Pelodiscus sinensis: one gene and its partners. The protein of the gene in region 1 interacts with the protein of each later gene in a pairwise test. Links are inferred from orthologs where the notes say so. Each region holds a gene or a part of one and is shown in the gene's direction. Other genes may lie near its edges.

Evidence for each region.
Region 2: the proteins of BMAL2 (region 1) and CLOCK interact in binary tests that used the Homo sapiens proteins (3 or more experiments, as listed by UniProt). The link is inferred for Pelodiscus sinensis from reciprocal best matches to the Homo sapiens genes BMAL2 and CLOCK.
Region 3: the proteins of BMAL2 (region 1) and EPAS1 interact in binary tests that used the Homo sapiens proteins (3 or more experiments, as listed by UniProt). The link is inferred for Pelodiscus sinensis from reciprocal best matches to the Homo sapiens genes BMAL2 and EPAS1.

What each region holds. Positions count from the first base shown.
Region 1 is NC_134711.1:120,033,843-120,041,571, forward strand, and holds the start of BMAL2 (basic helix-loop-helix ARNT-like protein 2), read left to right. Parts: upstream 1-4,579; 5' UTR 4,580-4,724; coding exon 4,725-4,815; intron 4,816-7,198; exon of another isoform or gene 7,199-7,729. UniProt on the Homo sapiens protein: Transcriptional activator which forms a core component of the circadian clock.
Region 2 is NC_134715.1:84,829,452-84,837,036, forward strand, and holds the start of CLOCK (circadian locomoter output cycles protein kaput), read left to right. Parts: upstream 1-4,395; 5' UTR 4,396-5,319; intron 5,320-7,585. UniProt on the Homo sapiens protein: Transcriptional activator which forms a core component of the circadian clock.
Region 3 is NC_134713.1:164,513,422-164,521,644, reverse strand, and holds the start of EPAS1 (endothelial PAS domain-containing protein 1), read left to right. Parts: upstream 1-5,033; 5' UTR 5,034-5,453; coding exon 5,454-5,479; intron 5,480-8,223.

The sequences.
Region 1 (7,729 bases):
CCCTTTGTAGAGTGTGTAATTTTCTTTAATTTAGAAAGGTGCCTTTTAAAAGAGCCAGGTGTAGTCTCTTGATTGTGACTGAACAAGTAGAAAGGAAAGGCCTCACCACCAGAACTGCCACCAGCTGTGAGGTGCTTATGAAGTGTCATCAACATTCTAACCCCTTCAGTCCTCTATTGTTTAAGACTATCCTTTGAAGCAAATGCCTTTTCAGATAAATATCTCTTTGTTCATTTATTCCTGCAGTAACAAGTTTGTAATGGACAGCTTTTGTCTGGATCCCGGCATACTTTCATTTTCCATTGTACCAGACAAACAACTAGCCTGCACTCATCCACATGTGTGAGACCTCAGCTTCCTGTAGGTTAATAGTCACTTGAGAGAGTACTTATGTAAGTAATTTCTCCTGCTTTAGCTCAAAGTAGATACGCCTTTTCTGTTTTTCACATTTCCCTTTTCACTTTGTAAATCAAGGTAGTGGAATATTTCCCCCTGTATTTTAAATGTGATGTTGTTTTGCCTTTGTAATGTGTCCAACTCCTAATAAGCCAATTGTGCTCTATTTAAATGCCATGGCTTTCTCTGTGGACAATAGCAAGAAAAATAAAATATAATGGAACCTTATTTATAAATAACATCCAGCCCCCTTCATTTTGGATTTGGTTTCCAGCCTGCTCTGGCTACACCTGATTGCCCACTCTGGGCTTATCTATGCTAGAGTGTTGAAAGAGGATATGTAAATTCCCATGGAATTTGCATAGGAATTTGCATATCTTCTTCCGATCTCACGTTCGAAAGCGGAGCTTTTGAAAGTGAAAGTAGTTTAGATGCGGCTTTTTCGGCAAACCCCCCTTTGTCGAAAAGCCGCATAAACCTCATTTTTTGAAAGCTCTGTTTTCAAAAGTGAGATCAGAAGATCTTTCAACACTCTAGCGTAGTCTAGATAAGCCTTCTCTGAAATTCTGCTGCCTTGGAATGTTTCAGCCCTTAAAAGTGCACAAGTTGTTTCAGTTCCAAAAGCTCCCTACACATACATTTTAGCAGCTGAAGTACAGTGATGCAGTGAAGACACTGGACTGATACTGGTGTTATCTGGATTTTTAATTCCTGGTTTTGCCAGTCTACCAATATAACCTTTGGCAAATCACTTAATCTCTCTGTGATTCACCTCCCCATGCTTTTTTTCTCCTCTGTTTTGTTAGTCTTGTTCATACAAGTTACTCTTTAAACTGAGTAACTCTGCCTCAGCAGATAGGGTGTATTAGATGACCTCTTAAGGTCCTTTCGAGTCTTACATGTCTATGGTGTCATTCTCCCATTATTATGTGTACGTACGGCACTCAGCACAACAGGTCTCAATATCAGTTTGTGCACCTATGTGCTAGTGCAATATAACTGAAAAGTGATAATTAATAATTGAAAGGCTCTGTCCAAAAGAAAAGATTTTAAATTGTCTGAGGGAATTAATTATTCTCATTTTTATTTGTAAAGGGAAAAGTCTGAGTTCTTAAGAATATAAGATTGACAATTATAGTTACTTATCTTTTTGTTTTATATTTAACTCATACAATTAATTAGTGGTATATGATAGTTACATGGAAGACTATTAAATTAGTTGCCATGTACTATTTAATGCTTTCACATAAGGCTGAAGTTGTGGAAAGATACGATTGCTACAGAAAACTTCATAATGTTAATGTGAATGTAACTTTTGGAACAACACTTGATGCTTGCAGTGTGCCTGAAGCAAAACACATTTGTAAGTGACTGATAAGTCTTTACAATGAATGAAAGAAATTTAGCTACTTTTTAAAAATTCTGGATAGTGCTTGCCAGTTTTTACACATCCATGCTGGATGAAATAAAATATTTTATGAATCCACACAGCAGATATTGACAAAATGTGCACAACCCACACTAGGAGCAGGACCCATACAAGGCTGTATTCACCACTTACATCTCGGTTTGACTGCTTAGGGTCCAAATCTGTATATAAGTATGCATATGAATGTTTGGAGGATTGAGCCTTAATGTAGAGCTTAAATTTTCCAGGGAACCCTACTCTCACTTCATGACAGAGTACAGAGTCTGAGGCTTTGTTGCCAAAAACTGCCTTTTGTCAACAAAATAGTGAGAGCATTTACACTGCAATGCGACTTTTATTAAGAAAAACACCCACTTGGAGACAAAAAACTTCCAGCCCTGCTACAGACTTCCCCCCCCTTTCTTTGTTGTTGACAAAGAGCCAGTGTGCATACTGCTGTTTGCTTTAGTAAGAGAACTGGCTTTTACCAGTATCTCACAAAGCCTGTATTGATGGCTGTGCTTAGTGTTTTGTGATCTCTGCTGCCCTACAGGCATGTACCCCTACACTTTCAAAGCTTCTGGAAGCATCCGACAGCTGAGTGAGCTGCTCTGTTTAGAGAACAAACAAAGAACAAATCATTGGAATGCTGCTGTTCTGCCCTGGTAGGAACACTGCAGCAGGCAAGCTGCTGCTTGCAGCAATGGGAGGGCCGAGGAGGGAGGAGGCTGGAGAGACAGGTGTACTGCTTTGACATTCCTCAGCACCAAAAGCTCACAGAGCTAAGACAGAATTGCAAGAAGTGCAGGGATCAGCTCTGTCTTCCCACCACTCTGCACTGTGGGATGCTTATCCACTTTGCTTTGCTCTGCTCTATCTCAGGGGTGGCCAACGGGCAGCTCTCGACCTGCATGCAGCTCTTTGGTTAAAGAAATGTGGCTCTTGTTCTGAGCTGTGTGCCCAGACTGCTCACAGCTGGCTGCTCTGCGCACGCGCCTAGAGAGAGAAGCATGTGGCGGTTCCAGGACCCAGGCACTGGGTTAGAGCTGGGAGGGGCGGGGCTGGCTGTAGGGGAGGAGGGGATTGGGTTAGAATGGGGGGCTGAGGGTGCCTGGCTCTGTGGGAAAGAAGGGATAATGAGTTAGAATGAGGGGGCTGAATCACCTTAAACTCAAAAGTCTTCATGGATGCAGAATAAGGCAGCCAACACAGATGTCATATTTAAAGTCCACGGCAAAAAAAATTAAAAATGAGGAAACCATACCAGAGATCAACAAGCTGGAGTGAAACAGGCACTTCAAATTGTGCTAATTTACTTCTCAATTCAGTTTAATTGTTTAAAAAAACCACACACGCATCACAGGAGATAATAGTGCACTAATGTTAAATTTAAAATATATGATGGGGATGCTTTTTTTTAAAAAAAGTGTGAGAATGTTAATGTATTTTTAAAGGTTTTTTTTCCCCTCAATTTGATGTTTGTTCCTTGCCCAGTTCTCTGAAGATCTACGGACTGGCCGTGAATTTTTTAAGTGACTAGAGACTTTTTAATTGGTTTTTATTTGAAGTGTCCTCTAATGTTATTTTTATCACTACATTTTGTGTACTATATCTATCTATACACAGATATATAAAAATAAATATATAACATGTGGCTCATTGCACTATATCCACAGCTATTTTGGCTCTTCGTTTGTAACTGGAGGGCCACCCCCATTCTATCTATTGACAGGGTGCTCACAATGTGGCCACGAAATGCCAACAATAGGAGGCAGAAAAAATGGTTTCATCTCCCAACCTTCCCAGTGTAGACACAGCCTCAGTGTTTTGGCAGTGGAGGTCAACGTGATTTAGGGAACGGCTATAGATTAGGGTTGTAATATCATAGTTGTAAGCCAATTAACGGCTAAGCAAATAAGTACAGGTTAATGCTATAGAATACATGTTTCCTCCCCTACACACACTTCCCAATAAATTTTTTAGCAGGCTGACCAGCAGTCCCTCTCAGTCCTGGCATGAAACAGATCTGGGACCTACCGCTGCTGCAGCTCTGCATTTAAAGTATATTAGGAGGCAGGCAGCCCAGCTCAGTTCTGGTTCGCACCAGGTCCGGGAGCTTAGACCCACCCTAGACAGGGGCTGCTGCCACCTCAGGCTGCTGCCTCTTTATCAGAGGCAGCAGCACAGGGTGACAGGCAACCGGTCCATGAGGGGAGGTGGTTTTTAAATTGGCTCCCCGCGGACCAACTCCCATCTGGCACCCTGCACTGCTGCCTCTGCTAAAGAGAGAAATGTGGCGTGGCAGGGTGCTCCTCCGGAGTGGGGCTGGAGCACACTGGCTGCTGGCCCCGTCCCCAGGGACTATAGAAGAGTCAATTACGGGATAAGAATTCTTGAGGTTACTCAGCTATTCGATGAAGTGATATTTAACATCCCTACTCTAGATACTCTTCCATCTGAGGGCCTAGAGAAGAATCTCTGGCTTTTTCCTTCTGTAAGCAAGTTTCTAGCGCTCATATTTGGGGGGGGGGCTTAAAAATGGGACTCACCTGCTTAAAAACGGGAGCTAAATAAAAGGCTCCTATGTGCGAAGCGGTCCGGATGTGAGGAAAAGGGGGGGGGGGCACTGACGACTTTTGCAGACTGGCTGGCCTGTGGCGTCGTTGTTCTCAGCCCCCGCAAGTGCAGTGCGGGCCAAGCAGGCGCCTGGTGCCAAGTCCCAGCCTGCTCCGGCTCCGTGGCCCTGGACTCCGTTGGGCTGCACGTGCGAGTCCGCTCCGCCCAGGGCACCTCAGCGCCCTTGCCCCGCCAGCTCTGAGGAGATCTCGCGAGAAGCGCGCAGTGGAGGGCGGGCGGCGCTAGAGTCGGGGCTTGACTTGGGCCAACCGTCCGCCGGGCCGGTGTGCGCCTCGCGCGCTCCATGCCGCTGGGGCCGGGCGCGCTGCTGCGCGGGGCGCTCGCCATGGCCCAGGCGGGGCCCGAGGAGGAGCCGCGGAGAACGGCGCCTGCAGGTCAGCGCGGGGGAGCTGGGGCTGTCCGACCGACCGACAGACAGACAGACAGACCGGTTACCCTGTGCCAGGCTAGGGAGCGCCTGCCTTGTCTGTCTGTCCATCCGTGTGTGTGTGGGGGGGGGGGCGGTTGTGCATTCCCGTGCGTGGGTGTCTGGAGGGGGTTGTGCAAGCGCGTGCGTCTTGGGAAGTTGTGCATTCCCGTGTGTGTGTGTGTGTCTGTACATAAACATACTTTTTCTGGGTGTGTTATCCTGGGCGGTTGTGTGGGTGTCTGCATTGTGTCCTGGGTGTACTTCTGTACTGGGATACACAAATACACACGTTGGCGGTGTGTCTTTCTTTTCTCCTGGGTGCTGTGCCCCATCTGTATCTTTGTGCCTGATTTTTCCCAATAGGTTATCCCAGTATCACCCCACTTTCCTTGAAAAATACACTGGATTGTATTCCCCTTCCACTATATTCAGAAGCCTGCTTTTTCCCAGGCTTAATAGCCACTCTCTGGCCCTGAGATCCTGCCAGCTCCTCACTTGCCCATGCAGTGTTTTTGAAGTCATAGATGAGGAAGCATTTGCAGCATTGAATTCTATTTTATTATTCATCCTATACACCCACACGCAGGTTTTATGCTAAATAGTCACACACTGATCTGATTTATTATTGCTGTTGTAGACACCTGTATTCAAATGAACTAGACTAACTGCCTTTTTTCTCATTTGTAATGTATTGGGTTTTTTTTTAATTTAGCGGTTGATCTACGCTTTCTGATCTACATTATTTTGCTTTATATAGAGTATGCGTGTAATATATCCAAAAGCTTCAGAGGGGTGGCCGAGTTAGTCTGTAAGTGGAAAAACTTAACAAATAGTCTAGCAGCACTTTAAACACTAATAAAACATGTAGATGGTATCATGGGCTTCTACCATGAGGTATTAGCTTTTTGATGTGCACTAATTTAAACTATCTTAAGTGTGATATTTCTGTTGTGTGTGAGAATAGGTTTAATGTTGTTTGTTCTCAACCATGACTCTCAGGAGCTGAGTGAGATTCAAAATTCACAGCAGTTTGGTCTTTTTCTGCTTTAAAATGTATATGTTGCTTCCTTCCCTGATTTTCATCTGAGGAAAGAAATAGATGCTTTGTGTCTGACTTTGAGAAGGGTGAGCGATTTACCATTCCAAATGTCACTTGTAGTTTGTTATGTTCATGCTAAGTCTTTTGATATTTTGGGCTGTGTGTGTGTGTGAGAGAATTCTAGTCACTTAAAAATAGGTCATCGGTTTTTTTCCCCCTGTTTGTCTCTTGGTTTATGGAAGCTAGACAGCATTTGTTTATTTAAATGCAGGTGCGATTTTGAAGCTGATTTTTGTTTTTGAAGCATGTGGGGTTTATTTTTTACCTTGATGCTTCAATGAAAATCATTTCAAAAGGAGGAAATGTATTTGAGTCACTCCCTACTCTGTGTACCTCTTGTAAGAAAAGGAGGAAACAAAAAAAACTCTCAAAACACTGGATTTATACTGCTCTTCACCTTACCCCCACCCTCACTGAGCAGCATCCATAGGAAAGATAGTTAATCATACTGTCACATATTTTATAGTAACTTGCTTCTTACTGTTTTCAGTTTCCACTATCAGATTCCTGATACTTTTTCACATTGGTTCTTTAAGATGTTAGACCAATTACAGTAGAAGTTGTTTACTTCTACTATTAAGTTATAAATAACTGTGTGAAAGACCGTAAACTTTTTAATCCTAAAATTGGACTAGGTTGAGACCAAACTTTTTTCTTATTTTTAAATTTACCCTTTCACATTATTAGTGCACTTGTATGAATTAAGAAAAAAACTAAAATTAGATTTTTGATATTAAGACACACATGCAAAGTGAGCTACAAGTGGGAATATAAAGGTGTGTGTGTGTGCGTGCGCACATATGCAAAACCATGGGAAAACAAGGACCATTGGGGAAAACCAAGAGCCAAAGGATATACTACTGAAAACTTCCTGGTCAAAATTCTGTTGATTTCAGTAGGTCCAGGAATTTTGACATTGGCTTCAGTAGAACCAGGGTTTTGCCTATAGTCATTGATATGTAGGATTTGCAAAAGAACAGCTAACATCAGTTTTCCTAACTGCCTAACGGGATGTTCAGGACAGGTGTTTTCTCAGTTTGGCTCCAAACTGTGCAATTCTTTGTAGCTTTCCCAGAGTAGGGATGTAAGTGAGTAGTTGACTAGTTGAATAACCGATAAATCTAGGCTTATCTGTTAATCTAGTTGACTGTTTGGATGTTCCCCTATATCCGAGGCAGTGGGGGTGGGGGAGCAGGAGGCGGTGCTGTGGGGGACTTGGCTTAAAAGCTGATTTTTTTTCCCCCCCCAGGACTGTCTCCGTGGCATCCCCAGCTTCCCAACCCCCACCATGCTGCTGCCTCTGTCCATGGCGGCCTGGGGTGGCCAGACTCCTGTGCACTGGGAGCCCCCACAGACAGGAGTTGCTGTGGCGATGCAGCCTCTGCCCGCGTCCACCCGGGTTGGCCATGGACACAGATTGCTTCATGGCAGCAGCCCCTGTCAGCAGAGGGTCCCATTGGATGGGAGCTACTACTGGAGCGGCCTCCATCTGCACAGACAGAGCTGCTGCCTCTGTTTCAGAGGCAATGTAGACCACAGGGTTTTATAATGTTTTATGTAATGTGCTTAATAGGTAGTTTGAGAATGAATGTTAAACAACTATAACTCTGCTGGCCACCTTTCTCTGGTTATCAGGGAAGAAGAGTCTTCTAGGTCCTTAATAAAGATGCATCAGGCAAAAACAGCTTGTGATTATTGTATCTGATGTCAAGACAGAAAGAGATCAGAAGGAGCCTTGTTATTCAGCATGGTTACATTGATGCTCTTAGGAGTAATTAGA
Region 2 (7,585 bases), on another chromosome or scaffold:
CCTAAGATGGTTCATGGACTATTTATGCAAAAATGTGCAGCATTCAGTTTCCAGTCAGCACCTGTATGATTGTAGAGATAAATGAGAGAGCGAAAACTTAACAGGATGGACAGCTTCCTACTGGCTGCTTCCTGAAGCTAATTTGATTCAAGAATACATTAATAAATTTGCACATATTAATCTAAATAATTTCATAGTGGGTTTGCTCATACATTCCACGCATCACAGCTCGTAGCACTTTCTATGCAAGCAGCTAAGAACGGCCCATTGGTATCTGAGGTATTAGTGCCTTATCTCTCTCACTCCAGGGTGTTTTGGACATTTTTCTATTAGTATTCAAGATGAGTCCCAAAGACTCACTATTGCTTTCCTTTAAGACACTTATTTTAATGATCAGATGGTGACTGACTTAGTTAAACTGTCTTTCATCAGCTCTTTCTTCAGTTATTTCCAGAAAAAACATATTTTTAGTTTCCTTTGGAATTAGGGATGTAAAATTTAGAGCCTGAAGTCACTGACTATCCTTTCCCCCACCACAATATCACCAGCCTTTCCCTATGTTGATCAAGGCCTACTCCACTAAAGCTCTAGCTTTGTCGCAAGGCTTCTTTGCTCATATCCTGCTCTATCACCTTCATAATAATTTGGGAATCACAATATAATGGACACATCCAATAACTTGAAGAACTGCTGTTCATTGGGATGTGTTCATTGAGATGTGTTGCTCCACCTTCTTCCTCCAAAGCATCAGTCTATCTTTGGAATTTTGGTGTGAAGAAACTGAAGGAGTTTCAGGATGACTCTGCCCTTTATATTCTCCATCCAGAGCATGAAGAGCCAGGGTGGGTGGGCCACCACTATGGCTATACATGTCCATCTAATGGCTATATGAAACACATCTTGAAGAATAAGTTATGAAAGGGTAAGTCATTTTTTTTAGTGTGTGAGCTTTGTACCATTTTTGCTAATTATGATTTTCCTGGTTTTTTTTTTCTTCTTAACTCAGAAATATAAGTCAGCTGGCAAAGTTCTTGGATGATGCAAAGATGTAGACTGGGAGTTTTATTCACTTTTAATTGAGGCAATGAATGAATCTTTAAATCAGGGCTACACAACACGTTTGTTTGTGGCCCACGGTGCGATTTGGGTTTACGCGGGGCTCAACATGTGGCCTGCAGGGTGGGATCCTTTGAACACGGCCTACACTGGGAACACACTCCACAACGACGAGTCAGTATAATGGTCTTCTGTTGATATGCGTTTTAGTAGTTAAATTCCTGGACTGTCATTGCTCATTAAAAATGCTATCATATGGGTGAAAATTGGGTAATATTGCATTTTATTAATATCTGCAGAACTCACTTAAATGGGGCCTGTGTGTTGTGTAGTCTTGCCTTAATCTTTGTATTCATGCCCATCAGTGTGAAGGAAGCTATTTGCATATATATTTGAATAGCCCTGCTTTAAATTGTCACTTTCTTTCTCAGTGAAGCCCAATTTCAGCTAGGGAATTATGCAGAGCTTCTCTGTATAAACCTTCTAGAGTCTTCAGTCTTCTAGAGTATTGCAGGAAATATTAGGTAAAAATACTTTTTGTATTTCTACAATGAAGAGTATAATATATTCATATAAATAAGACCTGAAATGTTTAATCATTTAAATAAATTAGTATTCTCTCTTTTGCAAGTCACCTTTAAGTAGTATAATTTTTTACCAGTTAACATAACTGTTTAGCAAATGAATACGTTTTTAAAAAATGTATTAAAACATTTTCCACTTGTTTAAATACTTACTAGGCACTTAATGTTTTACACTGCACTTTCAAGGCACAGTAGTAAACACAAGGCAAGAGCCATTGGGGGAAATGTAATAGCATGTTTGTGCAGCCATATTACTTTGTATTTTGATCTTGTCAGGTAGCAGAACCCAAGTTGGATCAAGATGGAGAGACCTTCAAAAACAGCAGGTACTGCAAGAAACCTACCTCCTTCACATGGAGGAGATGTTTAATGTTTGTAAAGCACTTTCTTTAGCTTAAAGCCAGAAGTGCAACATATTGTAGTTAGTAAAATCAAGCTTCTGGTGTTATAGCAGAATGCATGATTCCTATTGCTACTTTAGATTATTCAGCTTTTGTCTCCTGATAGTTTAATGTATATGTACTGCCTCCTCCGGGCCCGACTCCCCCCTCCCGTGGTGTGGGGAAAGCCCTGCATGCGCCTGCCCTGGGGCCGACTCCCCCCGCCCCTGCGGTGCAGGGAAATCCCTGCTGAGGTGCAGGAAAGCCGCCGCGCTCCTCCTCCAGGGCTGACGCCCCCTCCCGCAGCGCACCCAGCACGCCACAGACCTGTGGGAGTGGAGCAGACAGCACACTTCTGGAACCCCCAGAAGTGGCGCGAAGCTGCAGGACTTCCATCCACCCTGTGGGAAGCCGGCACTACCTCCATTGTCGCTGGAGGTGGGAAGTGGGGCTTCTTGGGGGCCGGGAAAAAATGGGGGGGGAGCCCGAACGCCTCGCAATTGACTGGTCGAGGCCATCGCGATCGACCGGTTGGTGACCACGGGTCTAAAGACAGAGAGACAATCTATAGGAAAGAATAGAGGCAGCATAGAAAGGAACAGTTGAGTTGACTGGAAAAGAAAAAGGGAAGACATTATTCAGCACATACACAACTTCCTAAATTCCCCTACACTTTTGCCACAGAAAAACTGTCATGGCTTCTGGGTATAAAAAAAGACCTTATCTGGGAATATTGGGAAGAAATTCATTCCCTCGGTAAAAAAGGAAAACATGTTAAGTGTAAGTAATGTAATAAGATGCAGGGCCTAGTTGCAAGAATGAAACATCATATGGAAAATGTACTGGGAGAAAATTATGTTGATGATGTGGACGTACAATGTCTGAAGTGCAATGTGGATGAACTTTGCAATGCATCACTCTTCAAGACTCTATGCCTTTTAGTACAAGCCTGATTTAACAAATAAATTCCCAATAAAATACAAATGGTATGTGTTTGTGTGTATGATTTAGTTCTAGTATTCCTTGTTTCTGTGGGTCAGCAATGAGGGCATATAGCTCACAAACTGGCCAAATAGGTGCTATGGTTATGTGGTGGGGCAACTACCCCATACTGTCCAGAAGGAATTAATGCAGGCTGGCGGGATCCTGCACAGAGCCCTGGACAATAACGATTTTTAAAGTAGACAATTAGGGTGTGGTTTGCTGGGGCTACCAAGCAGATAAAGTCAGTTAGGCTTTTACTGGGGAAGATACAAGGCCTTGTTTTTGGAGAAGCACCCTCAATAGAGCAGTACCGAGTGAGGGAGGCTCCTGCCTTAGACTTGCCAGGCAGTTGGCCTTGCCAGGAGGGTGCAAAAAGTCACAGGGGAAATGATCCTGGAAACAGAAGGCAGTGGAGGAGAGGTATAGGAGGGCAGGACAAGGCTGCTGCTGCTCCCTGGATTGGGACCCAGAGTAGGTGGTGGGCCTGGTTCTCCCCCTCCCCATTGCACAAAAAGTCTAGCCATTGTTGTTTTGTGGCCTGGAAAGACTGTGGCTTGCCCCGGAATGAGGGGTTAGGCTTGGAGGCCACAGTTGGCCACTGTGACAGCAGAGACACCAGACAGTCGATAAACTCCTGGACGGGGGATGAGACAACTGTAGTGGGCAATGCTGGAGGGCTGTGTCCTGAAAGATGCTGTGGTTGGGGGATGACATGAGTCCAGAACTGGAGTGTGGCCTGGGATCCATCAGTAGTAAGATCAACCCCATGATAGGCTATTATAAAAGAAGTTTTAATGGCCAACTGGAACAGAAAGCTAAGTATAAGGTTATTCAAGACAGTGTGATGACACCTGCCACCTCAGTTCCTTATTTGCTCCATGAGTCAAGATTAGGACCCTGAGAAATTAGGAAAGTGTCCAGGAATTTAAATAAGCAGAGTCCACCTTGAAGATCTCCAGTTCCAGGTAAGTAGTGTTCACTTGTGTGGTTAAGGTTTTAGGAGTCAGGTGCCTGGAGCCCAATGCCCTACTATGCCATAGACTTCCTGATTGTGGGTGAGCAAGTTGCTTAGGTCTCAGACTATACACACAAATTGTAGCACTTAACTATATTGGTACACTGGAAGCAGTACAACTCCCTGCTGTTTCCCACCAGGGGCTTGGTTATACCTATATATAGGTACTTTACATTAATGTAGCTGTTTTATAGGGAAAGACCTGCCGTATTATCATCTACCGTATAAAATGTTGTTATATCAGTTCTCTCTTGGCAGGGTAACTGCGGTGATTAACGTTGTCAAAAAAAAACCCCTCTCCTTATTGGGCATGCGCACCTTCTTAGCGCAGCTTGTAGTTTCCTTCTGCGCCTCCCGCCCTGCCATGGCGGTGAGAGTCACTGCACCTCCGGATAAAATGATGCTTCTCACCCAAGGCTGATGTGAGGGGAGGTTTATTAACGGTAGCGAAGCACCCGGCTCCCACAGCGAGGGCGGCGGAAGAGACAGGGCTGCAGTGAAGGGCTGAGGGTTTGCAGGTGGCTCTGGGCCAGCCCCGGGCTACGCGGTGCCCGGCTGTTTTCTGCCAAGCAGCGGGTCCCCCGCGCCGTCTCCATTTCTTCCTCCCACCGAGATGCGCTGGTGGGCGGCAGCGGAGATGTGGCCGCCGCCCCTCCGGGGGCGCAGAGCGGGGCAGTCCCTAAGCCGGGCTCACCGGGGCTCTGCCCTCCGCTGCCTCACGCTCTCCTGACCGCACGCGCTGACTCGGGAGCCGGGGGCGGCCGGGAGACCCGCCTCTAGGAGCGAACGGTGCTGGGCAGGGTGACGTGCGAGGCAGCTCTTGAGACCCGCTCGGACCTCGCCCTCTGGCCTGCAGCCACTGCCTCTAGGTGCGCAGCCCGGCGCAAAGGCGCCATTTTCTCCTCGCGAGCCACCCGCCTCTCTAGCGGGGTGATGTGAGGTCAGGGAGCCCGGGTCCCGCTGCGAGCGCGTAGCAGCTCTCGGCGCCGCTGCAGGGAGGCGCTAAAGTGGAGAGGAGTCACAAGGCGCCGTGGGGGACTGCGCATGCCCAGTAGCTGCGAAGGAGAATCGAGCCCAGCCGCGGCGGCCTGTAGTATACACTGGCGCACGCGCAATGTAGCGGGGCTTAGCCGGTCTGTTGCCGGTAGGCTCTGGCGACGCATGCGCAGTGCTGGCGGCGAGGGAATCACAGGCCTGGCTGCTGCTGGAGGAGGCGCTGGGCTGTCGGTGGGGTTGGGACCAGGCGCAGGAAGCAGAGTCCCGCACACTGCGAGTAGCCCCAGGCGGCGCGCGGAGCCGGGTAAGGGGCGCGCTGCCGGGGCAGGGGGAGCGGCTGTGGCCGGGCGGGGCCCCCCAAATCCCGGGCAGGGGCTTGGGGAACCATTAAAGTTTGACAGTCCTGGCGGGGTCCCGTCTGCAGGGCAGCGGCGGGGGGTGGGCAGGGCAGCGGCTGCCCTTGGGGCCGGGCGCGGGCTGGGGCTGCCTGGCGGGGCAGGGCAGGGGCTGTTTCATAAGGGACCCGCTAGGCCTTGTGACCCACTTTACTCCTGTCACAACTCCCAGCACGTTTGGAGCCCTGCCCGGCTGGCCCGGTGCCCGCCTGGGCCCCGCCTGCTGCCTCCATTCGCCGCCCCCAGGGCGGGGGCGGGACCCTCCGAGCCGCCAGATCCCCACCTGGCCGGGCGCGGGTTGGAAACGGCGCCTCGGCGCCGGGCTGGGCTGGAGCGGGGACCCCGCTTGTTTTCTTTCTCCCGCGGCTGGAGCCGTAGGCGGTGTCTCGACCGGTCGGTGCAGCCGGGAGCGGCGCTCCCTGCCCGCACTGCCCCGGCTGTCGGCTGGGCTCTCCGGCTGCCAGGGCTGGTTGTTTACAGCCTGGCGTGTGGCGGGGCAGCGCGCATAGCGCGGTTACCTCGCAGCACCCTGCTGGCTGGGGAGCCCTCGTGTCCGCAACAGCCGTAGCGCCGGGAGCGCTCTTGGCTGCAGTGCTCGGTGGACAATAAAACCAGGCGGCGGGCTGCTGGTGGTAGTCGATGGCCTGTTGTTGGCAAGGCGGTGATGTTCTTAGTGTCGCTGGTAAATTAGAATGAAATGCACTGGTGTGAGAAGTTACCTGACAGCTGACACTTGGCAACTCGTGCATCTAGTCCTGGAAAGCAATAGTTCCATAAAATGAAGTTGCTGGCCTGCGGGAAGCGGCCACTTGCCTGCATGAGCTTGCAGTATCTATCTCTCAATCCCACATGAGTCACATATTTTATAATTGTAATACTTAACGTTTGTACATCGATTTCTACAGAGAATTCGCTGTTTAAATCCTGTTATAACAGTGTAAAGTTAAAGCTACAGTAATAAATATCTACATTTTATTTTGTTTAATGTAGTTTTAGCATGATGTCTAAGCAGTGTTTATTAATAAAAGTATTAAAAGTGAAAATTATTCACCCATCCTTCTGGCATTTAGGTGCATGCTTAACTTCAAACATCTGAGTAGAAACACTGGTTTTAGTAGAATGGCATGCATATAAACAATTAAGCATGTGCACTGTAGTACAGGTACCTAAATTGCTTATCATTCTTTCTGCATTTCTTTCAACTTGGAAATTGATACTAGGTGAATTTTATAATCAGTTTCATTTTCCGGTTCTCATTGCTTCCTTACTGGAGTTTTAAGTAAAGCAAGGAGAATTTTTGTTTAAAAGCTATTTTAATTCGAGGTTTTTGTTGTTAAACACTCGAAACATTTTGTTTTCTGAGATCACTTAGCATTATGGAGATTCAAAGAAAAATAATATATAGTCTCATATTTTAGAACACTAGGTGTTCTTTTTAAAATGTGATGCTATTGTGCATCTTGGACTTGGTCTTAAACTGCTGAGAACCTTGTTGAAAACAAATGATCGTGCTCTAATAGCGCATTTTTTCAGGAAATAATTGGACTGAATTATTTTAAAATAGCATAAACAATTTTTTTCAGGCCTGTGTTTAACTGCTAGGCTCAAACATAACACACCTGCTTCTTACTTATTGCTTATTTCAACTTTACATGTAATGGAGGATGGATGTTTTATTTAAGCTCTGTCATTTTATGCATATTTGTGTTTTACTTTTTGTAAATTGTTTACATTTTTTAGGATTACTTAAACTCCCTCTGGTGACTAATTTAATATCTATATGTAATTTAAGTATGTTAAAGTGTGGTTATTTGAAACTTTGCTTATGTGGTTGTAGGCTGATATTCTTGTGCAGTGCCTCAATGAGGTCCATGGGGTTTCGTATAAGGGTTCAACTGTGAATGACAACTTACAGGTAGAACACACTACGAAGGTTCTATTGATAATAGGTGATTACTAGTGTTAATGTTTGAGCCCCCAGTGGCTGCGAGGCTCCAAATTTCACCTGATCTGGCTACTCCTTCTGGGTGTTAGATGTTTTTATTTTTGGATGGTGTATTTTTGGTTCTCTTTGCTTATATGGTACTAATACTGTAAAGCCAGTGTTAACCGGAATGCCCTAATCCCCAAGTGTGCCAGGTATCTAAAAATTCCAGAAAGGTCAAGCACAGTGGT
Region 3 (8,223 bases), on another chromosome or scaffold:
TTGTCTTTGCCACAAGCAGTAAAAACAGAGAAAAGCTCATTGGGTTATGGTTGGCACTTCAGATGTCAACATTATGTTGTGATACAGTGTTGCATTGTTTGATAGTGATGAGGTGAGAAAAGGCATGCATGGGGGGACAAAAATAAATTAATCCAAGAAGCATTCATCTCCCTAAGCCACTCAGAATCAGTTAAATTAAAAATGAAAGCATGTGTGGGGATTTCAGGGCACAGCCCTGGTGCTCCTGGCAGTAAAGTTGTGATTCACAATTCATTTTAAGACATTGAGAAGTTTTCTACATGGTTTGGAACTTGACTAATGCAAATGTCTTTAAAAACAAACAAACAAACAAACACAAATAAACAAGCCAAAACAAGCTTTTCATGGATGTAAGCCCATGTGAAAAATGTGCAGTGGATATGTTTTTTAAAAAACTGTGGTTTAGAACTTTTTTTTTAAGAAGAGGCTGAAGGGGCTCATCTTACAAAGCACTGTGTGTCCTAAAACCTCACTTACTTTGTGGAAATTGTGGGTGCTGAGCTCTCCATGGGGGCACTAGGACAAAATCCTCAAAAATACTTGGGTTTCTAACTTCTATAGAGTTAGGAGGCAAAATACCTTCAAGGATCGGGGCTTCAACATTCTATAGTAGTGGCCCAGAATCATTACATGTTTGAAAATAATGTGTAGATATGACTTTCCATAGCATTTTAAGCAAATACATACACTGTGTTAGCATGTATTATCTCTGGAATGCTGTAAATAAAATGTATTTCAGAGACTAGTTTGTTAAAATAAACACATTGCATACATTGATTAGACTGGTTACATAAAATTGTGTTCTCAAAGTATGTATTTACCTTACTTTGGTATGCTGGGATTAACTAGTATCTAGGAACCCATAGGAATTTCAAATTTGTCTATTTCATTGTGGATTGTTTAAAAACAAGTTAGACTTCCATGGCTTTCTTTTTATTTCAGTATGCCATTTATTTCAACTCTTCCACCCCTTTTTATAACATTTTCACAGCAGGGCTAAAGCTGAAATAAGCTACGCAACTTGAGGTACGTAGTTTATTTTGGCTTTTGGCACTTGTCTATGCAGCAGGAAGTCCGAGAAAGAGCACTTTTCCTCTGACTTCCCTTACTCTTCGTAAAATGAGGGTTACAGGAGTTGGAGTAATAAGTCCTCCAGCTAGACATTATTTTCATATTATGTCAAAATAGTGGCATGCTGCGTAGATTTGGGACTATGTTATTTCGGAATAATGTCAGGTATTCTGAAATAACACTGCTATGCAGACATACCCTTTGAAGGGACAAAGTGCTTCCAGCCACAGGGTGGGTTGGGCAAGGGGGAGAGAAAGAAAAGATGAGTCCGCATCTACACAGCAGGCTATTATTTGCTGTCTGTTTAAAGAGAGTGCACTGACAAAGCTCCACAAAGGTCACTTTATGGAAGATCCTCTCTCCTGGATGTTTCCCCAGCCGTTGATCCAGCTACTCCTAATCTGACTATACTGCACCTATATGTGACATCATAAAAGCTTATAGAGTAATGCAAATGCCATCTATGCAAAAAGGTCCAGCTGCTATTACCGAACCAAAACATTGGTTCTTCTGACTTTTATATGTTTTTAATATTTGGTCTTTTTGTTTTATTGCTGCACGTTGTTGCACGGCATACCACATTTCTTAATTTCTACACAGCAACTGTGGTTGTTGCGTAAAACAGTCAGTGGTACACTTGAAATATGGCAGTATTTCCTATTTTAAGTTCAGGGAAATGGTATCTTTTTAGATATTGCTGTTAGCAAATGTGGCCTTTTAAACTTCTAATAATGCCAAAAATATAAAAGAGTAACGAGGCATCGTGAATAAAATTTCGTATTTCTGGATCTAAATTCCAGCCTCCAGCAAGGATTTTGTCTGGTGGAAATTTACTGCTTTATATACGTGTACTGAAGAGTGCCTTACTTTCCCATTGTGAATCGTATAAGCAGTGCTGAAAAGTATATTTGGCTCCTACGACAGTTGACTGTTTGGGTTTGCTGAAAATTGGAACAATCTCATCAAATGTGGAGCATCTGTTCCCTCTTTCATTTGCCAGTATTGAGAACTAATTGTTTATACTGTCATTTTTGGCACCCTGAGAACCATTTTATAGGAAATTATTGCTGAAATCCTGCTGCCTCTGGAATTAGTGGCAAAATTTCCATGATGCCAGGATCTCCCTGTTGATTCTGAGAATTTACGCATGGCTGACAACCCTGAAAATCCTTTGTTTTTCCTTATCTCTGTGATAATGCAACATCATCACTACCATGAAGATAGGGTATATTTTGGAGTCCATCAGCATTTCTAAGTCACGTTGGGGAGTCACAGTTGAGCAGTTTGTTGCTGCACCTGTACTTTCAACCCCTGCTAGTCAAAAGAACAATAAATGTGGCATCTAGAACAGTGTCACTAGGACTAGGCCAATGGGCAAGACCTGAAATATCTGAATTTTACTGTGCATCTGAAATACAACCATTTTAAATTCTTTGCTTGTCTGACTCAAATCAAGTTGTTTAGCCAGGTAAAGAATCTTCAGATACAGAGAGTAGTAGTGACATCAACAAAAATCAGTGAAGGACTAAGATCTCAACTTAATCTAGAGAATGAATGACTGGTTCTTTGATCCTACTGCATTCTTCAGTCACTTGAAGGCTAAACAAATTCTGTTTAACCAAGTTTACTTAGGTTTTAAATATTTGTGCTTTTCTTTTGTGTAGATTCTGTTGTATAAGAAACTGTTACCATCTAATCATATTGCTGTTATACAAGTGCAGGTAACGCTCCTCAGATGAAAGCAGAATTTATTACTAATAGGGAAACACATATTCCATAAAAAAATACTTCTCTGGCCAAACTTTCTTGAAGTGGCATATGAATATGGCAGGAGGAGACTGCTAAAATTTAAATAATAGAGAAATCGTTTTTACAGGCAAAATGCTAAATTGCTTCCATTAGTTTGAAGTGTAGGAAAACTAGTGACTTATTCTGAGGAAAAAATGTTTTGGGTTTTAGTTGTCTTAACAAAAAATTCTACTGACAAATGTAGAGACTATGAATGCAATTAAACTAAAATAATTAAATAGGTTGTGGTACAAGGAACGAATTTGTTTGACACAGCAGAGTTTGTACAATTAATTCTGAAAACAAGGTAAAATATTCCAAAGAAGTTCACCAGAGATAAGCCTTAGTACTTTATTTCCCAAGAAGACAATATCAGCAAGCTTAATTTTAAAGTTTATTGCTGTTTTTATTTGAACAAGTCAATAAATATACAATGGCTTTTTAAAAAAAGAGAAGAAAGAAACAAAATGTAGAAGCCCAAAGAAAGGAAAATCAGTAAAATGAGGGCCTTGCAGTTTTATGCTCCAGTATTCACCAGGATGTGAAACAATTTTTACAGTGTGGGTGCTGACAGCCATTACATCAAACTGTAAACCATGTATATGATAACTATGGACAGTATGGCAGCACCTCATACACCCCTAGTTCCAGCATCTATGGTATCCTCTACTGTGCACTTATGTACAGATGTGCTCTCCATTGGAGCAAGTTGCCTTTACCTTCCTTATTTTGAGCACTTCTAGTATTTAGAAGCTTAACTGAGCACTGCGGTTTAAAAGTTTCAGAGGGGTAGCTGTGTTAGTCTGTAACTGGAAAAACTTAAACTAATAGTCTTGCAACACCTTAGAGACTAATGAAAAATGTGGATGGTATCATGAGCACCGGGAATTAGTTGTGAGAAGGGTATTTTTTTAATCAACCTGTGGTTGAGTAATTTGGGTTTTGAGCTTGAGGAATAGCTACTGGATTTGTGGCTATTGATATGACAGATGCATTTTATGAAAGTGCTTAGAGCATTAGCTTTTTGTATGCGGCATAAATCCAACCAGAGCAATACTTTGTGAGAAAGTCCTGGATTTCAAGTTCTGTAGGCTGGGAGTGAGGAGTCGGGACAAGACTTCATTTTACCAAGCACACTTAGGGGTAAGGCAAGCAATCACTTAACTATGACCCCACATCATCATAGTATCTAATGTCTTAATCTTAATATCAAAGGCTCAGGAGCCTGTGTAGCTCTAACTTCCACCGAATGCCTTGGTGGCTCTTCCTCAAGATAGCTGTTCCCAAAGAGAGGCATCATCACCTCAGCAGGCTCCTGGTCTGAGGAGAAGCCTTATCCAACCAGTCAGCTAAAGGTGGAAGAGAGAGGCATCTCCTGCATCCATTCACAAATGAGGCTTGCGGCTTGATTTTCGTGTCTGAAGGATGACTCCTCTTGACCAAGTGCATCCAGAAACGCCATTAATACAAAATACACCCGCCCTCCCACAGAAACGCGGAGGAGGGAGGAAAGCAGCGGCGGGGGGGAGGGGGGGAAGAAACCTGGGCCATTAAGCCATCCAAAAGCCAATGTTTACAGCCCCAGTCACGTTTCTGCCTGACCAGCCAGGCCTGACAGGTGCTCCCGGCGGCCACTTTCCCCTGCCATTCCCGGCCATCTCGCCCCGTCTCCCCGCGCTGCTTTGCTGGGAAAGCGCTGGCGGGCCCGGGGAGCACCCAGCTCGCTGCGGCCACAAGGCAAAGAGGGGGAGGGGGGCGAGAGGGAGAAATCCGGCCCCCGGGCCCGGGAGCAGGGGCTGCCGAGGGGAGGGAATTGCTCCCAGCCCCTTCTCCCCAGCGTGGGCAGAGCTATTGCGAGTCCTACAGCGCCAGGAGAGACTCCCAACTTCCCGCGGCCCGCCGGGCAGAACGTGCCACTGCAGCCCCGAGGCTGGGGCGCCGCCTCCTCCCCCGCGCTCTTCGGGGTTCTCCTGCTGGCCTGCACCCGCCCAGGCGCCCGCAGCCCCTCGCGGCGTTGACCTGGTCTCGGCAAGTGCTGCTGGAGCCGTGGTGGCCGGGGGCGGGGCGGGGCAGGAGGAGGGCTCCTGCAGCTCCCGTCCCCATTGGAGAACGAGCTGCCGACAGCTCCAGCTGGAGTGGGTGACTGGGCTAAAGAGGCTGAACCTGCCCCCAGGAGCCCAGGGAAGCTTTAAGTTTTAAAGTGAGAACTTTCTTCTGGCAGAGCTTCAGATTCCAGGGCGAACCCGGTCTCTCCCTTCCCCTTCCCCCCCTGGGCAGGCTGTACAATCCTCGGCAGTGTCCTGAGACTGTATGGTCAGCTCAGGGGCGACCTGGCCAGGACAGCCGCAGCCTTTTCCTAGAGGACAATTAGTGCACCAGCCTTGCTGTCAGCTCGGCGAGCCCTCCCGGCGCCTCTCTTCCTGCTCCCAAGCCTGTGATCTCTAAGCTGCCGGGCGGTTTTCTGTCGGGGGGAGGCAATAGGAGACTCGCAGCAGTGACTGAGGAGCCCTCGTTGGCAGCCCGAGTTGGTTTAAGCAGCACGAAGGGCAGCGATAATGACCGCTGACAAGGAAAAGAAAAGGTAAGCGGGAGGGGAGACTGGGGGCGGACAGAGTCGGGGGAGGGGATACGAAGGTGCAATTAAAATGGGAACTGTCACTGCAGCAGTGGTGCCCGGGGGGTGCATGGTTAGTGGGACTCCGCTAAATTACCATCATCCCAAGGACACCTGGGTGACTTCTATTGCTTCTCCGAGTGTGAGGCTGTTGCATTCGCTCCAGGCCCTAGCGGCTGGGGCTGCAAGCGGGCGCTTGGGGATCCCGCAGCAGCTACTGTCGTGAGGAGCCCGAGCCGCCTTCTCTTGAAGTTCACGGCAGGGCATTCCGCTGCCTGCCTGCGGGATCGGGCCTCGAGAGGAGTAGCGGCAGGAAAAAATGTCTCTTCGCAGTGAATTGTCTTGGCTGATCGCCGCAGACGCGGGGGCAGAGGTCACTTCGACGAAACAGCGCAGATCACTTTCCCACACCGAAAACCGCTCCCAGCGACACACATAAGACTTTTTAGCAAATGTGGAGGAGCCCAGCTCCTTCCTTTCCCAGTCTGTGGTGGCTCTCGCAAAGGTGACTGGAGTTCGAGAAGAGCCGGGAGGGGAAGGGTTACACGCAACATAGCGGGGGTTCACACAGCAGGGGGCTGACTAGGGCAGAAGGAATTCCCCAGCACGAAGGAGTGATCCCAAATAGGTGGTTTCAGAAGCTCCTGGTGATGTCATATACATGATAGGGAAACGTAGCCTATGCAGTAGTGTGGATCCAGTCCTGTTCCCTCATGCGCCCATGGGAGCTTCAAGGAAACATGCAGCCTACACACTATAGAAACCCCGCCGCCGCCGCTTCCCCACTTAAGTGTCCGCTGGGTATGCTCGATACCAGAGTAGATTCCACGTTAATCCAGCCCCATCCACCGTCTCAGTGTATCAAAATACCGTGTGTTATCTTCCCTGTGGACTTTCGGCTAGCGCAGGGGCCGTCGGCTAATGTCAGTTACTTAGTCTAGTTGTTGTGAATCCGGTGTATAGGCAAAAAGTGCAACTCTCCGTTTTTGTGACGTCGGTTTAAATCTAATCTAACATTTAGCCCAAGCATTGACTGGAACGCCGACTAGTCTCTGCGGCAGCTGCTGTTCGAGGGAGTTGAGCTCCTAGTGGAGTCAGACTCTTTCTTGTTTTGAGAGTCTGCACTTCAGTTGCATTGGAAGTGAGTGTCCTGGAAGCGGCGCTCTGAAGAGATGCACTGGGAAACATTCAGGTCTCTCTTTTCTGGTCGGCTGTATTGAAGAGGTCTCTGACACCCATAGGCGAAGGCTCTTCCCTCACCTCTGTTATATTTACTCCCACTTTCTTCTCCCTTGGAAAGAACCCTAACTTCTACAAAATGGGAAAGCTTTGTTTTCTGGTGGGGAATCAATCATCCTCATACAAAGAAGAATGTACAGTATAATTGGAAATACATAACTGCTCCCATAGCTGGTCATTTGAAATTCAAATCATGCACATACTCGTTGTTGACTGTGGTCTGTATACTAGTTCTCCAGTCTTGCCAATTCTCAGTTAGTTTATTAGTAGGGGATTAGGCAAATGCAATTTACATGAAGATTTATTATCTTTAATGTCAGTTAGGTTATTATATTTCAGGTGAAGATGGTGTTTTAGAGGGAAATAATTAAACAAAACAAATAATTACAATTACATGGACAACATGAAAACTATGTTAACATTTATTTATTGCATATTGCTGATAAATTTCAACCTATTGAGGGGTCTATAAGGCAGCATCATAATTTTGAGGATCTGATGAAATACTAGAATGTAATATTAGATGTGAAGGACATGGAGTCTTTTTTAAACTGTCATTTGTTTTACTTAAGAGTTGAGGGCTCTGGAAGTGTTTTGAGCACAGTTATGGGCTAGGTGGGTATATCTTACTCTTATGTTTATTTTTGTTGCAAGAAGGGATGTAAAGTAGGGATTGAATTGTATCTTAGTAAATACATATATCCAAAGAAAACAGAAATCAAGGTATTCAACCTCCGTAATTACGACTCAGAATAATTTCCCTACTGAATCTTCATACAAAGTTTTTGGTGGAAACAAAAGGAAAGAAGTCATGAACTATAGTCCAAAACTCCCGCAGACAATTAACTCATGAAATCAACGAGAGTACTTGCATGAGTAAATACTGTCCAAATAATTACAAATTGCATGCTTGACCTCTGTGTTGAGATATTTAAGCTATTTTATACTATCAGTGTTTGCAAGATTGGCTTTTGTCATTGAATACAGACATATAAATAAAAGCTGTACTTTACGAAGGAAATATCTTCATATATAGTAGTTTCATTTACTGATATATGCTAAGCTTTTACAAATTGTATTTAATATTTCTATTTTAATTTGTGCGCTAGTTCTAAATCATTGACTGAGCTACACTATGAATGGACTGAGATACACTATGAGAGATAGGATAACTTTAGGTAAATTGAAAAACTTAAAAAACAGCAAATAGTCTAGTAGCACCTTAAAGACTAACAAAACATGTAGATGGTATCATGAGCTTTCATGGGCAAAACCCACTTCTTCAGATGACCGGAGTATAGGGTTACAGGGTCTGAAGAGAGTGGGTTTTGCCCACGAAAGCTCATGATACCTTCTACATATTTTGTTAGTCAAGTGGAACCTTAAAGATTATTTGTTGTTTTTTAAGTTTTTCCTGTTACAGACTAACTCGGCTACCCCGCTGAGGTTTTGGGTAAATTGTATTTTTTAAA